2 linked regions of the Oryctolagus cuniculus genome follow. The protein of the gene in region 1 purifies or fractionates together with the protein of each later gene. This does not show direct contact. Links are inferred from orthologs where the notes say so. Each region holds a gene or a part of one and is shown in the gene's direction. Other genes may lie near its edges. The genes, in order: OSBPL8 and GLG1.

What was found.
Region 2: the proteins of OSBPL8 (region 1) and GLG1 purify together in Homo sapiens (co-immunoprecipitation; 3 studies listed by BioGRID and IntAct, with this or other methods). This does not show direct contact. The link is inferred for Oryctolagus cuniculus from reciprocal best matches to the Homo sapiens genes OSBPL8 and GLG1.

The regions. Positions count from the first base shown.
Region 1 is NC_091442.1:78,875,807-78,879,629, reverse strand, and holds part of OSBPL8 (oxysterol-binding protein-related protein 8), read left to right. Parts: intron 1-1,387; coding exon 1,388-1,472; intron 1,473-3,082; coding exon 3,083-3,254; intron 3,255-3,823. UniProt on the Homo sapiens protein: Lipid transporter involved in lipid countertransport between the endoplasmic reticulum and the plasma membrane: specifically exchanges phosphatidylserine with phosphatidylinositol 4-phosphate (PI4P), delivering phosphatidylserine to the plasma membrane in exchange for PI4P, which is degraded by the SAC1/SACM1L phosphatase in the endoplasmic reticulum.
Region 2 is NC_091449.1:57,071,988-57,075,810, reverse strand, and holds part of GLG1 (Golgi apparatus protein 1), read left to right. Parts: coding exon 1-75; intron 76-1,398; coding exon 1,399-1,541; intron 1,542-1,638; coding exon 1,639-1,740; intron 1,741-2,649; coding exon 2,650-2,757; intron 2,758-3,823. UniProt on the Homo sapiens protein: Binds fibroblast growth factor and E-selectin (cell-adhesion lectin on endothelial cells mediating the binding of neutrophils).

The DNA.
Region 1 (3,823 bases):
TGGGGAGTGAACCAAAGAATGGAAGACCTTTCTCTCTGTCTTTCCCTCTCTGTAGCTCTACCTCTCAAATAGATAAGTGAATCTCTATCTTTTTTTTTTTTTTTTTTTTTTTTTTTTTTTTTTTTTTTTGACAGGCAGAGTGGACAGTGAGAGAGAGAGAGACAGAGAGAGAAAGGTCTTCCTTTGCCGTTGGTTCACCCTCCAATGGCCGCCGCTGCAGCCGGCGCACCGCGCTGATCCTGGCAGGAGCCAGGAGCCAGGTGCTTTTCCTGGTCTCCCATGGGGTGCAGGGCCCAAGCACCTGGGCCATCCTCCACTGCACTCCCTGGCCATAGCAGAGAGCTGGCCTGGAAGAGGGGCAACCGGGACAGAATCCGGCGCCCCAACCGGGACTAGAACCCGGTGTGCCGGCGCCGCAAGGTGGAGGATTAGCCTATTGAGCCACGGCGCCGGCCCTCAAATAGATAAGTGAATCTCTAAATAAATTAAATTAAATAAATAAAAGATGCCTGCTTCCCAGATGGGAGTGTTTAAAAAAAAAAAAAATGGAAAACCACTGAACACAGATTTGATCTGACTGAAAATGCTTGGATTTTTTTTTCATGCTAGTATTGCTTCAAGAGGCAATATACATACATACCTTTGAAGAGTCTTGAATCTATAATGTTAATGCTTCTTGAAATCTATTTTTGATAGTCTAAAAGAACTCTTAATGAGAAACAGCTTTAAAACTTGCTTTTCTTTCACAGTTACACTGTAAATTAAATGGTTAGTTTTCTTTCCAGATTAGAACTGTGTCCATCTACGTTTAGCCTTAGTAATTTTTTGTTGTATACTTCTGAAAAAAACTCTGGCCAAAAACAGAATTTCCTTTCTTGTTTCTTGAAAAATAAAATTAACTTGTATAATTGGCCTTTAATACAAATGAATGTATCATTCGTTATAAAATAGAGATTTATTTTACCCTGGACCCAGTCAAAATTTATTTCTCTTTTTCTTATGAATTATATCTCTAATTGTTTTGTTTAGATTTTGAGAAATTTACTATTTCTTATCTAATAATATCTATAGGATGGAAATTATCTGCTAAATTAAAATTTGGCTCAGTATGGTAAATTTTAGGTTCTATTTAATATATTAGCAATAAATAGAAATAAGATTTTAGTGATCCTAACTATCATTTTCTGTTAATGAACTGCATTTGATGGAAAAGAGTACTTTCCTTGGTGCTTCCCATCTGCATCCTTAAGAAGGGTGAAATTAAAGCTTGTTTGCATGTAAGTTGTAATTCATGCCTGATTTAGATTGTTACAGATAATAGTGGATAATATAAAGTTGAGCTCTCACAGTACTTACTCTACACCATTTACTTTATTTTGTTTTGCAGGGTCCAAAAGGTGAAGCAGTTGGGTCCATTACTCAGCCCTTACCTAGCAGTTATTTGATTATCCGAGCTACTTCAGAGTCAGATGGTAAATACAGTTTTTGGCGAATTGGATTTTGGTCTTTATTTTTAAGAGATTATTTTATATGCTTCTATGTGTTCTCCTTGGGGAAGATCTGTTTTAGGTATGGCATTTGCAACAGAAACATTGTGGTCTTAAGTTGTTTAAAATATTCACATTACTTTTTTAACTTTAATAAATATAAATTTATGAAGTACAACTTTTGGATTATAGCGACTTTTCCCCCTGTAACCTCCCTCCCATCTCCCGCTCCCTCTCCCATCCCATTCACATCAAGATTCATTTTCAATTATCTTTATATGATGAAGATCAATTTAGTATATACTAAGTAAAGATTTCAACAGTCTGCACCCACACAGAAACACAAAGTATAAAGTACTATTTGAGTACTAGTTATACCGCTAATTCACATAGTACAACACATTAAGGACAGAGATCCTACATGGGGAGTAAGTGCACAGTGACTCCTGTTATTGATTTAACAATTGACATTCTTAAAATATTCACATCATTAACTTTGTAGATGAACAGAGAAATCTAATAGGAAAGAGATATTGTGAATTGAGTCATGATTTACCAGCTTGCAGATGTCTTCTGCATCCTCCATTGACATTTTAACACCTTTTTGACTTGTTACTGTTCTTTCTGGTAACCCATTAAGTTCTATCATTTTATATATGCATTTAGTATTGTCTAAATTTTATCACTTATGAGACACATATACAGTGTTCTGGGAATTTTTTTATTCAAATACAAACTGTTCTATACTATTCTATGACAATATATAATTTATGAGCCAAATATGGTAAGAGCAAAATTTATTTATATAAAGGTAGATAACTTTCAAACCTTAGTGACTGATAATGGATTTCTTCCTCACGTTCATGTTTCATAGTTGAGACTAGCTTGAAACAGAGAATCTGGTAACCTTCCAAAGTTTCCTTTTATCAGATGATTTTTTAAAATATATGAGCTTTCAATATGAAAATGTTCTACTTGGCTGATATTTCCAGCAGATCTTGAAACACATCAATTTTAAGAATACTTAACAAATGTATATGAACTTTTTTGTTAATATAGGTTTATATTTTTATTTAAAAAGTAAAGCTATTAATGTTTCTCTTAACTAATATGGCAATTAATGATACTACTATGCAGACATTTTCGTGACTTAAAAAACTTTCATACTTGTAAGTAGAATGGATGCTAAGCCTGGAGATAGACATATCAACAACACAATGTTTTTTCAGTGGTTTGTTTATACTAAAGATAATATCCCATTTAGGATGTTTTGTGTACCTTGCTTGGTACCTTCATATTGTGCTACATTTTAGCATTCTAAGGTTTGAAAAATAAAGTACATTTATATTATATTCATTATACTTTCTAATACATGCTGTATACTATTCACTTGTAAGTGGTTTCTAAGTGCTTAGTATTTAAAAAGTATTTTTCAAACTGGAAAAGTTGCCTTAAGAAACCCTGGAAATAATTTATGTTCAAGTTAATTTTGTATTACATATTTCTTGAAGAAATAATGATATGTTTGATGATAACATAATTAAGATGGGTGCCGATTTCATAGTTTAATATACTACTTTGAATCTGTGTTCTAGGAAGGTGCTGGATGGATGCTTTGGAGTTGGCTTTGAAATGTTCTAGTCTTCTTAAACGTACAATGATCAGGGAAGGAAAGGAACATGACCTGAGCATTTCATCAGATAGCACACATGTGACGTTGTATGGCTTATTACGTGCTAACAATCTCCATAGTGGTGACAACTTCCAGTAAGTAGATACTGCCACTAAATTGGTTATGATTTCAGTGACCGTATTGTTCACTGGATTAGTTCAAAGGCCTAGAATTTTAGTAGCGTAACTAGAATTGAAATTTTCCTATCTTCCCATCATGTAGTCTAAGATATAGTTTAAAATTTATTTAGAGGCTGGCATTGTGGCACAGCAGGTTAAGCTACCCCCCCGCAACACTGGCATTCCGTTTGTGTGCCGATTCATGTCTGAGCTGCTGCACTTTGATCCTGCTCCCTGCTAATGTGCCAAGGAAAGCAGTGAAGGATGGCCCTAGTACTTGGGCCCCTGCTACCCACATGGGAGACCTGGATGAAGCTTCTGGCTTCTGTTCAGCCTGGCCCAGCCCCAGCCATTGTGGCCATTTGGAGAATGAACTAGCAGTTGGAACATCTCTTTCTCTCTCTGTAATTCTGCCTTTTTAATACATAAATAAATGGCTTTTAAAAAAATTTTTAACTACTATAGTCAGATGTAGAAATTTTATTTCCTTGATTCTAACCAATGTGAATTACTTTACTGTTCCCACATACAACCCCACTAACTAA
Region 2 (3,823 bases), on another chromosome or scaffold:
AAAATAAAAACAGTGAACTGATGGACCCCAAGTGCAAGCAGATGATAACCAAGCGCCAGATCACCCAGAACACCGGTAAGTGCTCAGCTATAGGTGGAGCAGAGTGGAGTGGAAAGGACATATGGTACCAAAGTCAGCCAAGGTGCCTTGCTGTCTGCATTTTAACAGTGGAGTCTGGATGTGAGCAAATTGCCTTAGTCTTCCTTTGAGGGAATATCTAGAGAAAAGGAATAAAGTGCAAGAAGGAAGAAGCTGAGAACTAGAAAAATGTCCTTGATAAAAGAGGAGTGAGGATTGGTTAAGAAAGAAAGCAAAGCAAAGGAATGAGGACTTGAGTTCCTTAGAAAAGTCTGGAGATTTAATGATTTATACATGTGGCAGGTAATTTGGTTCAGAATAGAGAAACTTCAACTCTGCCTTACAAGAACCTGAATAGGATGTCTCCTAATGTTTTAACTGTGACAGGCAAGGTTGCTGAAATTTGCTTAATCTTTGTATGGATTACTTAGGATATGGGACCACAAACCCTTTATTTTTATTTAAAGATTTATGTATGTATTGTGTGAGAGAGACAGATCTTCTGTCTGCTGGTTCACTCCCCAGATGGTTACAACAGCCAGGTCTTGGCCAAGCTGAAGCCAGGAGCCAGGAGTTTCATATGGGTCTCCCATGTGGCTTACGGAGATTCAAGCATTTGGACCATCCTCTGCTGCTTTTCCCAGGCCATTAGCTGATTCGGAAATGGAGCAGCTGAGACACTAACTGGTACCCATGTGATATGGCAGTGTCTTAGGTGGCAACTTAACCTGCTATGCCACAATACTGGACCTTATTTTTTTTTTTTTTTTAAGATTTATTTATTTATTTATTTTAAAGAGTTACAGAGAGAAAAGAGAGATCTTCCTCCTGCTGGTCCACTCCCTAAATGGCCACAACAGCCAGAACTGGGCCAGGCTAACGCCGGGAACTTCCTCTGGGTCTCCCACATGGGTAGCAGGGGCCTAAACACTTGGGCCATCTTATGCTGCTTTCCCAGGCACATCAGCAGAGTACTGGTCTGGGGTCAGAGACAGAGCTGCTGGGACTTGAACCAGCGCTCATATGGAATGCTGGTATTGCAGGCGGTGCCTTAACCCACTACATCACAACACCCACCCCCACAAATCCTTTAGAGGTGCTGCAGAGGAGAAGGATTCCCAGGCCCTGCAGAAGTGCCTTTGTGTGAACTTGTACTGCTGATTGACAGCAGAGGAGTGAGAGCTCAGCAGACATTTACCAGGAAACAAACCAGTCATCCTCAGTTGTTGACACCTACATCCCTTATGGGGAATTGGATTTCTGAAAATGTGTGAACCCAGGGATGAAGCTTTCTTGCATACTTCTTGCTGTCTGCTGTAGATTACCGCTTAAACCCCGTGCTGAGGAAAGCCTGCAAAGCGGACATACCTAAGTTCTGCCACGGGATCCTCAGTAAGGCCAAGGATGATTCAGAGCTGGAAGGCCAGGTCATCTCCTGCCTCAAGCTGCGATACGCCGACCAGGTAGGCTGGTGGTTGCCCTGGGGCACCTCTTGTCCCCTTGTCCCCAGACCTTTTCCCCCTTCCCCGGGCTGACACGTCCTCCCTGCATCCCACGCAGCGCCTGTCTTCAGACTGCGAAGACCAAATCCGAGTCATCATCCAGGAGTCGGCCCTGGATTATCGACTCGATCCCCAGCTCCAGCTGCACTGCTCAGACGAGGTAGGACGTGGGCCAGAGCTGGTCAGAGATCGGGAGGAGGGGAGGTGTTCTTCACTATGGTTTCTCTTCAGTGCTGAGTCCAGGCTTGGTTGAAACCCATGTCCTGGGCCCTGTATCACTTGAATTCCTGGTTCTTTGCAACACTAGATTAGATTTCGCATTGGTCCTACAGTGTTGGTTCCATATTTCTCTGTTGAGTAAGGGCATTTTTAATGATGGTTCTCCATGTATGATTTGTTCTTTGCTTCTCTTTATTCTATATGGTCAACTCAGAAGGCCCAAAAAAGACAGAAGTGCTCCCATGATAGCTGTTCAAGAAGTGTCCATCCTTGGAAATTACTTAACCTTGTAGCCATCTAGAGAACCTGTTCAACATACATTAATTTTAGGAGATTAACACTAAAGATGTTTTAAAGAAGCTGCTCATAAAACTTTGTATATAAAGTTAAGTTTGTATCTTTGCTGTGGGCTGTGTTTTAGAACCCTTTGTGCACATACATCCCAATTGAGAGTCTGGGCCAGACGTTTGTTATCATTTGCTTTGTCAGAGTCAGGGAGTCACCTTTCTTGTGATAGTTCTTGGACAGGCTGCCTCCAGCCACAGGGTTGGCAGTGAGATGGGTGCATTCATTGAGTTGCAGCTCTGTGTGTCCAAATGGAGGCTGCCAGCCAGTGTGGCAGAGAGACGTGAAATCCACCAGGAAGCTGTGATCACCAAGTGAGCATGTTTGGAAACTAAGATTTCTGGTTCTGGCAGCACTGTCCCTTGTTCATGACACAGCAGCTGGCCCCTGTGGAAGGAGCAAATGCACTGTGAAGTGCAGGGCCCGGTTAGAATCACCAGATTCACCTGCTTTGGAAACTGCTGGTTTCTGTGCCCAAGGGGAGGCCTTGTTTTTGTCTGAACAGATCTCCAGTCTCTGTGCTGAGGAAGCAGCGGCCCAAGAGCAGACAGGCCAAGTGGAGGAGTGCCTCAAAGTGAACCTGCTCAAGATCAAGACGGAGATGTGCAAGAAGGTGACCTCCCGCACCTTGCTCTTCCCTCAGTTCCTTTTCTCCGCCTTTGTCGTCTTCACTTTAACGCTGTAGTCTACACACGTAGTGACAGAATCAAAAGCTAGACCCTGCTACCTGGCATTCTCTGCTGTTCCCCCTTACCAAACTGTAATATGGACCCTGACTGCTAACCTCCTGTAATTTGAGCATTCTGTCACCTCTACTAACTGCTGGGAAAGCCTCTCATGTTTGCACTGGGACCATTGTCGGAGGGCACCGGGAGTGCGGTACTGAAGCAAAATGTCAGAACCGGTGTGTCAGTGAGTGTTGGTGAAAATCCAAGAAATTAAAAATTCAGTTTATTTCAGAAATAATATACTTGACCTTTTTTGAAAAGCTTTGTCTTTTATTTTGAAAGACTTATTTATTTATTTATTTATTTGAAAGCGTTACAGAGACGGAACTTCCATCTGTTGGTTCATTCCTCAAGTGGCTGCAGCAGCCAGGACTGAAGCCAAGAGCTTCGGCCCACATGGTCGGCAGGGGCCCAAGCACCTGGGCCATCTTCCACTGCTTTCCCCAGCGCATCAGCAGGGAGCTGGATTGGAGGTGGAACAGCCGGGACTCTTAACTAGTTGCAGGCAGCCACCCAGCCTTCTGTGCCACAGCACCGGCCCCAGTATAGATATTACAAAAAAAGAACCACAGAACTTTGAGGAGGACTTCTAAGCAATATTTGAGCTTTGTTTTGATTATGTTGTCGTTCTTTCTTTAAGAGGCAGAGCTCTCACTCATTAGTTTACTCCCCAAATGCCCACAGTGACCCCTAGCCAGTTCCAAGGCTCAGAGCTGAGTGCAGGTCTCCCAACGGACTGGCAGGAGCCTGACTACTTTAGCCATCATGGCTGCCTCCCAGGGAGCACATTGCCTGGGAGCCAGAGCCAGATGTCAGACTCACACACTCAGGGGCAAGACAGGCATCTTTTTCTTTTCTTTTTCTTTTTTTTCTTTTTTTTTTTTTTTTTTTCCCTTAAAGATTTGTTTATTTGAAAGAGTTACAAAGAGAGAGAAAGAGAGCACTTCTGTC